Caenorhabditis elegans: one gene and its partner. The protein of the gene in region 1 interacts with the protein of each later gene in a pairwise test. Each region holds a gene or a part of one and is shown in the gene's direction. Other genes may lie near its edges.

The links. Proteins that work in one complex are often made in the same cells at the same time.
Region 2: the proteins of mlc-4 (region 1) and col-181 interact in a two-hybrid assay, tested with the Caenorhabditis elegans proteins (one large-scale study listed by BioGRID).

Annotation. Positions count from the first base shown.
Region 1 is NC_003281.10:3,390,520-3,397,854, reverse strand, and holds mlc-4 (Myosin regulatory light chain), read left to right. Parts: upstream 1-4,067; 5' UTR 4,068-4,073; coding exon 4,074-4,172; intron 4,173-4,290; coding exon 4,291-4,638; intron 4,639-5,092; coding exon 5,093-5,164; 3' UTR 5,165-5,341; downstream 5,342-7,335. Other genes in the region: Protein clpf-1, read right to left, coding at 1-101; cri-3 (Conserved regulator of innate immunity protein 3), read right to left, coding at 406-555, 605-708, 759-943, 994-1,265; elmd-1 (ELMO domain-containing protein C56G7.3), read right to left, coding at 5,415-5,503, 5,630-5,757, 6,098-6,174, 6,635-7,231. UniProt on the Caenorhabditis elegans protein: Regulates myosin II activity and organization during embryo elongation. May be involved in the organization of mlc-5 into bundles.
Region 2 is NC_003284.9:12,100,711-12,108,115, forward strand, and holds col-181 (Nematode cuticle collagen N-terminal domain-containing protein), read left to right. Parts: upstream 1-4,219; coding exon 4,220-4,372; intron 4,373-4,429; coding exon 4,430-5,275; 3' UTR 5,276-5,392; downstream 5,393-7,405. Other genes in the region: W03G11.3 (Putative alpha-L-fucosidase), read right to left, coding at 413-569, 611-691, 1,145-1,465, 1,599-1,732, 2,023-2,251, 2,305-2,366, 2,411-2,522, 2,803-2,906 and 1 more; W03G11.2 (uncharacterized protein), read right to left, coding at 5,784-5,995, 6,460-6,652, 6,716-6,837, 6,881-7,124.

The DNA of each region.
Region 1 (7,335 bases):
CCCTTGACGAGCTCCAGACAGACATCCGAATCGTCTCCGGCGGCAAATCTCAGCTCACAGTCCTCTTTCAAAACGAACTCTTGAACATTCTCCTCGCTCATTTCTTTGGAATCTGAAAATGAGGCTTTATTGATTTTTTAATTTTCAGGAAAAAACGCGGAATTAGATAAAGCAAAGACATAGTTAATTTACAAAAAATTTGGGATGCGGAAAACTACAAAAGAAGAAAAAAACAATGGGTTTATTATTTTTGGAGGAGAGAAACCTCAAAACAGAACAAAAAACTAAGGAAAATAAACGAGCTGAAAGAAAATGTGCTACTTATTTAGATTACCTAAAAACGTCAACAGTAAAGTTATAAAAGACAGAAAAAACAAAACAATTGAAAAAATTTCAGAAAGCAATCTATTTGGAGATGAACTTCTTGATCTTGTCGAGAAGTCCAACGTATTGAGAGTGCTCGTAGTGAGTGGCATAGGCGACGAGAGTCTTGCAGAACCGAGCATCGAGACCGCGTTCTTCCAAATAACGAACGAACAGGAGATCGTGGAGGTCCTGGAATTAGAAAAAATCAATAATTTGCGGTCCTCTTGGGACTACTAACTGGATCGATATATTTTCCACTGCTAGCGTACACCTCGGATGGTACGTCCTCGTTTCCATTCTTGGCAGATGGGGCGACGTAGAACTCTTCGACGCGGAAATCATCTATAAATAGTATATATTTTATTCGAGTTTTCGATAAAATCGAGTATTACACTCATCAGGTTGATCGTCAACTGGCACAAGCTCGAGATGGAAGCAAAGTCTCTGATCTCCCTTGGTAATCTCGACGGTGAATGGTGGCATGGCTACTGGAACTGGAGCGACGGCCTGGGATGGCTCATCGTCGAATCCTTCGTCCATATCGACAGAGTGGTTCACATTGAAGACGACGAGAATGCTTTAAAAAAATTAACTTTAGAACTATGAAAAATTCTGAAAAAAACGAACTCTTCGCTTCCATTCTTCTTGGTCAGCCTAACTTCGGCGTCCTTATTGGTGACTTGGAAGCCAGCAAATGTCGGCGCAACGGCTCCTTGAAGATTGTCGCTGCTCAGCTGTTGCTCGGCTTCGATCTCACGGTTCAGGGCCTGTTGAAGTTCTGGCGTTACTGACAGAACCTTGGCCGATTGTGAGAAATGGCGTGGAGCGGCCATTCTGACGACCTGGGATGAACGGAGAGCCACTCGGGACAGGGAGCGAACAAGGGAAGCAGTGTTCATTTTACCTGAAAGAAGAAAAAAATAGAAAATTACATTTTCCAAAAATGATGCAAGTTTTTATCGAGCTAAAAATCAAGATTATCAGGTTATAAAGCGTTTCTAATTGATTTTAGGCTAATTTAGTTGTCAAAAATCAATAATTTCAATGAAAAACCTCGAAAAAATCAGTGGAAGCGTGCAGAACCGAAGAAAAAGCGAGAGAATATGCGAAAAGCCGACGAAAATAATTCAAATAGAGCCTTTCGTGGCAAGATATCTTCGCCGCAAAATGGCATGCGCCTTTAACTTGGCGCGCTTTGGAATTGTGTTCAAACGTTTTTCAGCCATATTTTCTCATTTTAAATCGATTTTTTCTTGTTTAAAATGATTTTAAAGTGCGTTTTCTTTGAAATTATTGACTATTGGGCTTAAAATTATATAATAAAACTGAAAATTGCCAGAAAAATCGATTTTTTGTTGTAAAAACATGGAATAGAGCTGCGCAGCTGGCGCGATGAGTCATGAGTCATTTGAAAAAGCAGCATTGCGAAATTTATGTTTAGAATTTTTTGAAGATTATTGATTAAACTAGGAGATTATCGATTTTAAGGAATATTTTTATACTTTTGAATTTTCGAATTTCGTGTTTCTGGCTAAAATCGTTGGTTTTTCTCGATTTTTCATTAATTTTCAGTTTTTCAGAAGTTTTTTCGTCTAGAAAACTTGTTTTCTGGCATTTTTCGGAATTTTTGAAGCTTCAGTGTATTTATTTCGAGGTCATAGCGTTTTTTAAACGGAAAAACTCTTTAAAATTCGAAAAATCATGTTTTAAATCAAATAATAATGAAAAATCTAGAAAAACCGATCTAGAAAACATTTATTTGCGCGGGAATTCAAAAATTATTCGGTTTTTTGTTGGAAAAATTAAAAAATCAAACAAAATTCAGGAAATCTTTATTAATTTTTCAGCAGTAATGTCCTGTATAGTGAGGATTTTTTCTGTCATTTAGGGCAAAAACTGGCGTACTTTCAAATTTAAAAAACCATTTTTTCGGTATTTCATAGTGTTTAGACCCCAAATTCCGTTCCCAAAACCTCCCAGAAATTAAATCGTATTCCGTATTCCGTCGGAATATCTTGTTTATCGGCAAGTCATCATATATACCTCCTCATTCCAATGTCCTTTCACACACATTCGAAAGGAACTGTCTCCGTATAAATACACAACGAATGGGAACTGTCTTCTCTCCGTCTCTTCACTCTCTTCACTGCTTCTCCCGTCGTTCCGAAGAATATCGATTGTTTTTCCGCTCTTTTCCGTTTATGTTATGTTTGCCAGTCATGTGAATCACTTCATAACGTTTTTTCTGCTTTCCGGAGAGAATTCTCCATTTTCTGCTACAGTTTTGAGGAAAAAAAAATTGCATTTCGTCGCATTTAATGTGAATTTTGGCCGGGGGAAAATATTAAACAATCTACATTTTTATACCGGGAATTGGGTGGGCGGCAAGTGCTGTTCGGCAAATCGCCAAATTGCCGGTTTGCCGATTTGCCGGAAATGTGTAGAGGCACTTTTTATAAGACGGAACCACTTAAAACTGCCTTTTTGGAATTTATATCCCGCTTTTTAAAGAAATTTTCATAGAAGTTGCTTATTTTTCAAAATAGACGTAGGAACATTCATAGGGTGCGTACAATTTTGCCGATTTAAATTGAAATTCTGAAATTTCCAAAAAAAGGTGCAAAACCACATTTTGCCGAAAATTTTCGGCACCTGTCGTTTTTCCGGCAGTTCGCCGATTTGCCAGAAATTTTAATACCGGCAATTTGCCGATTTTCCGGAAATTTTGAACTCCGGCAATTTGCTGATTTGCCGGAAATTTCAATTCCGCCAATTTGCCGATTTGCGGGAAATTTCCATATAGGCAATTTGCTGATTTGCCGGAAATTTCAATTCCGCCAATTTGCCGCCCACCCCTGACATTAACATTAATTGAAAATAATTGATGATTTTTCCAAGTTTTGCAAAAAAATTCCGGAACTTTTAAACTGATTTTCCTTGTTTTTTTTGCCGAAAAACGAAAAAGTGCAAATTTTAAATAATTTACGCTCCGTTTTTCCTCATTTGACATCCTAAATATGCCCTCCGCCTATTAGATTCTAATCTTTTCTCCGTTTCTCGGTCATTTCCCTCAAAAATGTGTCATATTTCGGTTCAAATCCCCTTTCCAAGGCGACAAACGCTGAGAATCAATATTTCCTTCGAAAACCTCGCTTCCAATCGTAATAGGAAACAAAAAAACTGAAACAAAACATTTTTTGCGGCGGTGACTCACCGCTTTTTCGTTATCAAATAATATTTTCCACGCCCCGCATCTTTTCAGTTTTTTTTCACATTTTTTTGGTTTCTACCATCTTCATATTTCATCGTTTTTTGAGAGAATATCAATTTTCGTTTCAAAAATACTGCTAATAAACGATAAATTAGCGATTTCAATGCTAAAAACAATATTAGTTTGCAAAAATTATCAAAATTTCGGCCAAAAATTGAAATTCTCACAAAAAAACAACGGAAACTTTTTTCCTCTTTTCCTCGAGGAGTCTAGACGTTTTTTGCATCAAAAAAAGGTCTCGACACGACAAATTTTCATTAAATTCAAAGTACTGTATTCCCGAATTTTCATTGATTTTTCGAGAAAAAAAATCCAATTAGTAAAACTACAGTACTCTTTAAAGGCGCTCACCTTTTAGTATTTAACATAAATTTGTCGTGTCGAGACCTTATTTTTTCCTCAAAAATCGCAAATTTTCAAATTTTTGCAGTAAGCCATGGCCTCCCGCAAAACCGTAAACCGCCGTCAACGGCCACAAAGAGCCACTTCCAATGTGTTCGCCATGTTCGATCAGGCTCAAATTCAAGAGTTCAAAGTAGGTGACAGCCTCATTTTTCGTTTTTTTTTTCGAAAAAATAAAAATTTAAAAAGACGAAAAATCCATTGGTTTCAGCGGAATTTTTAAAGAACAATTAAAATAAATTCAATTTCAGGAGGCATTCAACATGATCGACCAAAACCGCGATGGATTCATCGATCAAGAGGATCTGAAGGATATGTTCGCTTCCCTTGGAAAAGAAGTCACCGAACAATTCATCGATTCGATGATTAACGAGGCTCCCGGAGCACAGCCGATCAATTTCACAATGTTCCTGACACTTTTCGGTGAAAAATTGACTGGAACGGATCCGGAGGAAGTCATACGGAATGCGTTCCAATGCTTCGATGAGGATAATTCGGGAAAACTCAATGAGGAGCATCTTCGCGAGTTGCTCACCACGATGGGCGAGAGATATTCCGAGGAACAGGTTGATGAGCTCTTTAGAGATGCTCCGATTAAGGTATAATCGCTGTAACTTCGGAACGAAAAAAAGAAGGGAAACAGGAGTTTCTGGCTCGAAAAGCTTGATTTTGGACCTCTTAAAATCGTGGAAAATTCAGAGATTTTCGATTTATCAGCCGGAAAATTTGGTGTCGATTTACGCCGGTCGTGTACTCCTAGTGAAGAAGTTTTTGCTTCTTTATTTTGCAAAAAATTGCGATAATTTTCGCTTTTTATTGTAGATTTTGAAGGAAAAAAATCGATGTTGAAATTACTTGTTTTTTCAACAGAAAAAAGTGCAAACTTCTCCACGGGGAGTACACGATCTGCGTAAATCGACACAATTTTCTATAAAAAAAACACATATTTTTACCAAATTTTCCAATGCAAAATAGTTTTTTTTAAATCCTAAAACCCTAAAATATTTATTTTTTCCTGAAAAATAAGCCAATTTTCAATTTTTTTTTTCTCAGGGCGGACAATTCGACTACGTGGAGTTCACTCGTATGCTCAAACACGGAACCAAGGACAAGGATGAGGCTTAAACTGGCTCGCAAACTCACACAAAATTCTCGAGTTTTTCAAGATTCAGTTCGCTTACACACGCTTTCTTTTTCGCCTCAAATAATTATTATCATTCATGCTTTTTTTCACACCATCTATTTATTGTTGTATTCCACTTCCCCCAATACCATGTGCATAAATAAACTCGAAAACGGTTGATTTTTATTGTAATTTAAAGCTATAATCTTTAAGGATTTTTTCACAGATTCGTTTCTCGGGAAGTTTCAATCATCACAGGAGGGTATTGATGAGCTCGTCATTCGTCGGATTTAGAAGCATTATCAGGGATAATGGAGATTTTTCGAGTTGGCGGGTTATTTCTGCAAAAAATTGAACATTTTCAGGATTGTAATTTCCGGCAAATCGGCAAACCGGCAATTTGCCGATTTGCCGGGATTTTGGCCATAGAAAATTGCCCAATTTTCGAAAAAAAAAAGTTTACTAACCACTGAAAATAGTTTGAGTGTTGGCAAGTGTACACTTTTGTGACTTATAAATTGAGCAAAATCGGCACATTGCAGATGCATGGAGAGCAGAAAAGAATGGATAGAGTCCTTCGATTTCGTTGCCAAAGCTGTAAATGTGCTCTATTGAGAAATGTGCCAAGTGGCGCGAGATTTGAATTTTTTGGTGTTTTTTTGGAAAATAATTTGAAAAAATGCGAATTTTAGTTGAAAAAAAAAAATTTTCTGCCAAAATTCTAGGAGAAACGTTTTTTTTTCAAAATTTCTGAAAACAAAAATTAAAATAAGTTTTTGCCAGTTCTGTGAATTTTTGGTATAATATCTTTTAAACAATTTTTTTTCAAACTTTTAGGAAAATGCCATGTTTCTTGTGTGCTGTTTTTTTTTCTTTTCAAAAAAAACCAAGTGGCACGAGAAACGCGTCAGCAAGCGCCCTTTGCGCAGACTTACTTATCAAGAGCTCCTTTCTTCAGTTGTGTTAATAAAATACTCGTAATATTGATTGAAACAACGGCAAGTGGGAAATCCTGGAAAATTTTCTATTGGTTTTTTAAAAAAGTGCACGGAGCGCGATTGCATTGAAACATTTTTTTGCCAAAAATACGGTATCTGGTCTCGACACGACAATTTTTTGTTAAATACGAAAGGGTGTCCGCCTTTAAAAAGTACTGTAGTTTCAAACTTTCGTTACTGCAAAATTTTAATCGTTTTTTTAAATAGTTTTTCGATAATAAAAAATTCTTTATTGAAAAAACTCAAATGTAACAATAAAAACACATAAAATTCGCGAAAATTCTGCTGAAACAAAAGTTTGAAACTATAGTACTATTTAAAGGCGCACACCATTTCTCATTTAACACAAATTCGTCGTTTCGAGACCGGACACCGTATTTTTGATAAAAATTGCAAATTTTCCGAATTGAAACTGTCAAAATTGCAAGCGCGCTCTATTACAACTTTTTTCAAAAATCCCAATAAAAAACTAACATTCGGTTCAGTAGTGGCAAGAAGTACAATTGCTCGAAGTAAATTCGCCGGTACTCTCTGCGTAAAAGTGTGCATTTGAAGTAGGCCAAGAACTCCGCAACCTCGAAAATCCGTGTGCGGTGTCGCCGACTGAAAGCCTACAGTAACCCAATGCGCGCCAACACGTGACGGATTAGTGACGTGAGAGTATTCTGATGACGTCATCAGGGATCTTGAAACATTGTTAAAGTAGTCCGAGAGGAGAAGCCAGTGTGTTCCGTTTTCATGATCATAGGGTATTTGAGCGAGTTTTAAAATTAGCGTTTTATCCGTATAGGCTTTCGGGCCCATTTGTGATTTTACAGGCCTGCACAGACAAACGTCAATTATCCGATTGAATGTTGATCGATTATCGATTGATTCCCGGGAAACTACTTGTACTTCTGGATCTGTGACGTCATCGGTGGGCGTGGCACTTGGTGGTGCGTTGGACGATGACGTGGCAATTAGAAGGGGGTAGAGGTCTTGAAGAGAAGTTTCTGGGGCGACGGCAACTGTGGGGGAGCCTGGCTCACGGGTTACATCCATTTTGAGAGCGTCTGCGCCTTTTAGCTCGATCTGGAAAATTTAAATTTCACAAAAAAATCTCCAGATTTCAAGGAAATTCTAGTTTTTTTCTTTTTTTCTGCCATCAGGCTTCTAAAAATTTATTTTCTAATTTT
Region 2 (7,405 bases), on another chromosome or scaffold:
ATTCTTTAGTACCGGGACTTCCACTTTTTTAAACTGCATAAAAAATCATAGAGGACAACAAAAACCATTCATGTGGCTAATAGGAATTTCAAAAACAAGCTTGACTTATTAAAGTTTAATTTGAAGAAAACTCCCAAAGAACTCGCAACGTGTTAGTACGGTTTGTGCATTTGTAGTGAAAAACAATTTACTTTAAAGTTGTTTTTTTTTCATCATACACATTAAGTTAAATTCACTTCAGTTTTTTTTCGGCCATAGGTATACTAAAATAATTATTTTGAGATTTTGAGCGAAATTTGAAATTAAAAAAAAAATCTAATTTGTCATAGGTCGTTGTTGGTGTCTACCATACCACCGAATATGCAATATTTTAAAAACAGTTCACTCAATTTTTGTTAGTCGAGTGTCTCACATTTTTGGTTGTTTTCACTGATTTCAACTCAAACTGCTCGTGTGAGGTGTCAAGAATCCAAGCATAAACAATGGTGTGCTCTTCCAATTGAAAATTGTAAACGTTTTGATACAAATTTTTCAATGGCTTCTTTCCCGATGAATATTTGGAAGTATACCTGAAAAGACATGTGTGCTCAGTTGTTGAAATTCGACATACCAAACATTTGAAGCACTGGTGTCGTTTTGATGAATCCATGGCCTTGTACCAAATATGGCCTCGGATGTGATGTTCACAAATCTTAAAAACGGAGATTTTAAATAGTAGAAAGTGGACAAAGAATTTAGAATGTTTAAAAAATGTATCGATCTTAAAAGGAAAATAAATAGATATTTAGAATGGAAAACGTTTGAACTTTGTAGAAAATTTTTGAAACTTCGAGCAAAAATTTATAACATTGCCAAAAGGTGTCATAAAACTGCAAAAATTCAACAAGTTCAGGACAAATAAAATTTAAGAATTGTTATGTTACATTTTTAAAAATCCATTTCTGTCCAAAATAAAACGTTTCTAACGGAAAGCTAAACTGCAATTTAGACTAACGTAAAAAAGTTACCACCTCTAAGCTTTCGAAATATTTAAAATATTTGTGTACGGTTAACACATTTTCGTTACTGTGTTTGGTGTAGTAGACATACCCATTATTAACAAACTTTTTTAATTTTCAAATACAAATTCGATATAAATGTTCACCTGCCAATTTCTTCGAGTCGATCCTCAAATATAGCAGGGATTTGTCCATGCATATTCGGTCCAACATTCAATAGCAAGTTTCCATTGCACGCGATTGTTCTTGCCAACTGCTCGATTATCTCGTAAGCTGTATTCACTTCTGATGCTTTCATGTCTCTCCGATTTCCCCATGAATGTTTATCCAAAGTCATGCAATTTTCCCACTTTTTCTCTAATAGCTTTCCTGGATCATAGTGATCTGAGTATGTCATAAATCCGCCGTGTTTTCCCATTGTACCAGTACCCCATCTATCATTGACGACAACTTGATCTTTGACCGGACTGAAAATGTGTAGGACATTCGAGCAAAACTCCTATTTGGAATTTCGAAATATTCAAAGTCAGAACTCTACAAACTGAGTCAGAAACTGCCAATGAAAAATCAAAATGTAGATTATGAATTGTAAAATCTAACCTAGAATTGTAGAGCCATGCAAGAAATTCTTTTGCTTTCCAATAATCATCCGACTTGTCCCATTCGCCATCACTCCAAACTACTTCGGGGTTATACTTTGTGACGATGTCAATCATTTGAGGATATGATACTTGCTGGAATAAATTTCATGTTCGTCATTAAAGTTTACTAATGGAAAGAAAATTGAAGGTGGATTACGGCCTGGGCTGGAAACAGTTTAAAATATTTTATGATACAATGACTAAATATCGTAATCAGATTTTTGAAAAATGTTGGATTTTAAACAAATAATGAAGAATAGTTTTTGCTAGAACAGTATACATTCTTCGAACTGCTCAAATATGATTTTCAATTTCAGTCAAATATGATTTTTTTTATTTAAGGTGTTAGAGTGACAACATTATATTTACAGATTTGTGGCTACCTCTGGATAAAATGTGGTGTTGAACTTCCCGTCATCCAAAAACATCGGATGAAACCATTCAAATTGTGAAAAATAGAGACCAAAGTGAACATCCGTTTTCTTGAAAGCATCTCTGAGTTCTCCAACAATATCTCTCTTTGGTCCAATATCCATTGAATTCCAATTCCATGAAGTTCTAGATGGCCACATTGTAAAGCCTTCATGATGCTTGCTAGTAAACACAAAATATCTGAACTTTCGAAAGATGAGTTACACAAAAAACGTTTTTGAAAACTAGCTTGCCTTGCTCCGGAAGTTTTCACAGTTTCAGCAAATTGATTCGCATTGAAATACTCTGCGGTAAACTACAAAAATCACTTTCAATTGCGAACAAAAGAATGTTACAAACATCTTTAGCAAAATCAGCGTATGTCGTTCCGGGTTTGTAGTTTTTATCCACAAAATTTACAACGTCTTTATCTGGTTGTGTTCCTTTCCAATACCACCACATCCATTCGGATCTTGTTTTATATTTTTTGTTTTTATCGTTATCATCCTTAATTTGTATGGAAAAAACCACTGGAATGTTTTCACTTATCCTTTCTGTTTATACAGAAAAACGAAACAAAAATCTCCAATCGAAAGTGAAAAAAGTTGAAAATAGTGTTCAGGTTGCCATTTGATAAGAAAATGAAAGTTCCCTGTTGTTTGCAAACCAGTAATTTCAATTTTTTTTCTTTCAAAATGATTTTCTTATCAGTCAAAAACATTCCAATTGAACTTGACAATCGAAAAACTTACCTGAACGCAGGCACCGAGTATAGTCCCCAATGACAGAATATGCCAAACTTTGAGTCATCGTACCAAGATGGCAAAGGGCGGTTGTCAAGCGACTCCCAATCTGGCTAGAACACAGAAAATGATGGATTGAATTAGTCATCAAATTACACTTACAGTATAATCGCAATTGGCAAGATGTAGAAATAAAATGGAGAAAATTAGAAATATCATTGAAAATTTATTGATTTTCTATAAAATAAAGGAGCAGCTAAAGTCAAAAGTTTGTGCGAATGTTGTTGTGTTTCGGGATAAGAGAATGTTGGTGTAACGAGCCCGGAGGACGGATATAAATAAGATGGATAGAATCTAATGAGAACAAAGAAGATAGAGGTTTGAACCTTTCTGTCACAAGAAGCATCCTGAAATAAGTATTAATCTTTAGAGCAAGCAAAATTTAATAGTGATTTATGTGAATGTTCTATTGAAAATTCAATACACAAACTTCACTAGATTACTGTAAATGTGCGTCAATGTTATCTTATTGCCGTTCTAAAACAAATTAGTTTTTTGAACTGCCGGTAATTCAAAGTGGTAACTCAAAGTTCTAACAACCGATTTAATTTTTAGAGCACTATTTTGAGAAATGTGTAGTTTGTTTGAAAGCATTTTCTTCAATAGTACCTAGCTTTGATTCAACATTCATTGAATTCCACATAGGAAATTTCCATGATCACATTGTCAAACTTATACTGTCTTGAAGAAGAATAAGTATGAACTAGTTTTTCACAGATATGATGAAAATAACCATGAAACCCGGGGAAACCTTGAAATTAACGTTTAAAGAAACTCATGGTTGCTGATGGATTAATAACTACGGTGTGCGTGAACATCCTGTATTACAGTTTTCCTGTTAAAACTTCAAAAAATGGTCATAAGCTGCCTCCTTTTCTCTGTGATTTTGAATTCAATAATCTGAACTGATATTTTTATCACACAGTAACCTCAATTTCACAGTAGTGAGTTTTATTGATCACATGGAACGTTTTTATGGAAATCAGGCAGACAATATGGATTAAAGCACATCTTGAATCTCGCTTTCGAACTTTGATTACGATGTCAATCTGAAAAAAGAAACACCAATAGATAAAACCGACAAACACAATCATTGCCAAAATCGTTTCAGGAAGTACACTGTCAACCCCGCACTCTCTGCCAATTCTCTTGTTCCTTGCCAACCAAAAAAGTACAGAGAAAGAACAGAAACGGCCACAAATCAGGCGCCAGGCACCATCCGCGTATCACACACTCATTATCATTCTCTCGCTCTTTTTCTGTACTTTTTCAATCCATCCTTTGTTTCTCTAACTCATGTGATAACGTTGCCATGTATGACCGCAACCAGGACGTATCAATATGAAAAAAATTTGACTGCGCGGCGATGAGAGCGAAGAGGCGCAGATTGTCTATCCACAAAACCATTTTGTGTAACGTTTCGGTAACTATCAACAGCTACCCACAGAGTGAATTGTATATAAAAGCGGGCGATGTGACATCCAATGTATCAGTTCCATCTTTTCTGCTGTTTTCAAAGGTACTTCACTTTCTATTCACCTCATTTCACTTTCAATTATCACTTTACTTTTTCCAGATGACGATGGATAAGAAATTCGAAACCGAGAAAGTGAAGAGGTTCGCATTCTTCGGAATCGCTGTCTCCACGGTGTCTACCCTCACTGCCATCGTCGCCGTGCCAATGCTTTGTCTTTACCTCCAATCGGTCTCTTCTTCCCTTCAAGATGAAGTCAACTTCTGCCGAGTTCGTGCCACTTCTCTTGAGGGAGAGCTTGCCAAGCTTAATGTAGTCCGAGCTCCAAGAAAGGCACGTGCTGCTGAGGGAACCTGCTGCTCCTGCGGAGTTGGATCAGCTGGACCACCAGGACCACCAGGATTTGATGGATCCGCTGGAAAGGATGGATCAAACGGACGTCCAGGAAACCCAGGAGAGGATGCTGATGGAGATGACTACAAGCCAGATGCAAGCCAATTCTGCTTCGACTGCCCAGAGGCTCCAGCTGGACCACCAGGACGTCCAGGACCAGACGGAGAGAACGGAGGAGCTGGAGAGCCAGGACGTGACGGACTTGCTGGACGCCCAGGAGCTCGTGGATCACCAGGACCACGTGGACCATCTGGAAACCCAGGAGCTGATGGACCAGCAGGACAACTTGGACCACAAGGAGGATCAAACGTTGCACCATCTCCAGCCGGAGAGCCAGGAGCACCAGGAGCCCAAGGACCAAAGGGACCACCAGGAGCCGCTGGACGTCCAGGACGCGACGGACAACCAGGAGCACCAGGAGACCAAGGAGAGAATGGACCAGACGGAGCCCCAGGAAAATCTGGTTCCGACGGACAACCAGGAGCCCCAGGAAAGGAAGGATCCCGCGGAGGATGCGACCATTGCCCACCACCAAGAACCGCTCCAGGATATTAATTCCTTCATTAGAAATTATATTAGCCAATTTCACTTCTTCTCTTTCAATGTGTTTCTTGTTTCATTCACCACAAATGAACTGCCACAGCAAAACATTGTTATTTCTTAACTTGGGAAGTAGAACATATTTTCAAAAAATATATCAAAGATGCAAAAACGTAAGCCCAATGCGGGGCTCGAACCCGCGACAACCAGATTAAGAGTCTGGTGCTCTACCGACTGAGCTAACCGGGCGGCAATGGCATTAGATGTGGACGCAAGTGAAATAGTGGTAAGGAAAGAGTGGCAGCTGGAGAGAGTAAGTCGGCAAGACGGAGAGACCGTGGGTTGCGAGAGGCACTTTTCGTGTGTAGCGTGAGACGAAGACGAAGACATATGTTCTGATGTAATGGTTGAAAAAAATGGCGAGACGCAGTGATCATATTTTTGCGATTTATTGTTTAGAAAATAATCTCATCACAAGAATTAAAAGTTATAAAAAATTTAAATAGCTTTTCAGTTAACACAATTAATAGTCATCATCGTCTTCATAAGTTTTCCTCCGACTCATGATAAATATTTGAAATCCAATTAGACCACAAGATAATGCAAGTAAACCCGTTCCAACTATTAAGTACATCACCTCCAAAAACTTCTGATCCGTCCCAACCCAAGATGGATGCAAAATCCAGAAAAATTTCTTCATCGGGTATGTGCTTTTAATCAATGATCCAGGTTTATCTGGAATAATTACTTTAGTTTGTTTAGAGTTGAATCACTCGACAACTTTATGATTCTCTGTCGTATATGAAAATAAATGTATTAGGAGAGCATGCAATTATGCTCCGATATTCAAAGTAGCAGAAAAGTATAAATTTTCGAATTTCCGCCATAATTAATAATTCTTCATATATATAGTGTTCTCTAACGTTTTTATGGTTGTTTAATTACTTTTTTTAAAGAGTGTTCCTCATTATTAACTTGTTAGAATTGCTATCATATAGGAGTGGTAAAACAAATTACAAGCAAAATACAAAAAACTGGATTTTAAATCCTACGAAAAGCTATTTTCGAACGTCTTTCAAATTTTCAATGTTTACGGGTTTTTGGTTTTTCTTCCAACCATTACGTTTTTTCATTGTTTTACTCTTTGCTGACTTCTCCGTTTGGGAGACCTTTTTACAACACCTAAACTTGCAACTTACATTCATTATCAAAATACAATCTGTGAACACCTTGATATAGCCCATTATGTTTTGTGGTATTAAGTATTCTGTAGAATTTCTTGAAATTTTTGTTGGTCGCTGATTCTAACCATTTGATAAGAGAAATATTGCGATACCCGCCCATTTCACAAAGTTCATGTTTCCATCCAATCGGTTTCAAAGTTTCTCGAAACTGAAACCTTACTAATAAATTTGATACTGAAATTTCATTGTTGAACAATTTTGAATGTGTCACCTGTTCAGCGTCGCATAAGTTTGTCTCGTTAGGTTCGAAAAACATGTGGCGTAGTTTATCAGCGATCACCCCTTCTTCGGTCCAAGCAATTGGAGAGCCGTTGAATGTTAAACTGAAAGAGTCTAAAGAAGAAAAATATGTTTAGTGTTTGAATTGAAAACATGCCATTGAACATAATACTAGCAGCTCCACCAACAGGAGCATAATACTTTTGGTTGTCAACACAAAACATTGCCATTTTTGGAATGAAAGAACGGGACACTGCATTTTCACAAGAGTAATTTTGATTTTTGAAGGAATCACATTCATTCGACTCTCCTGTTATTAACTGCTTTTTGCAATATGCTTGGTTCAGGGATCTGTGCATCATAAATGTGTCATGCAGCTCGTAGTAAAAGTATACAGGACTCTGAAAGCAACACATTAAATGTTGAGTTCATTTTTTAATATTATGATACTTGGAAAATTTTGATTACACGAATTTGTAGTTAACTCTTTTTGTAGTTTTAAAAAATAGTATTAACTGGCCTGTGCTTGTTTGTCGATTAGTTTTAAGTATTCTAAAAAACAAACCGTTTTCAAATGCATTCACAGAATAAATTTTTGGCCTCTAACTATGGTATCCAACAAAACTTTATTCGAAAATTCAGAGAGAAAGCAAAAAAATCACCCGTTTTGCTCTGAGCTTTC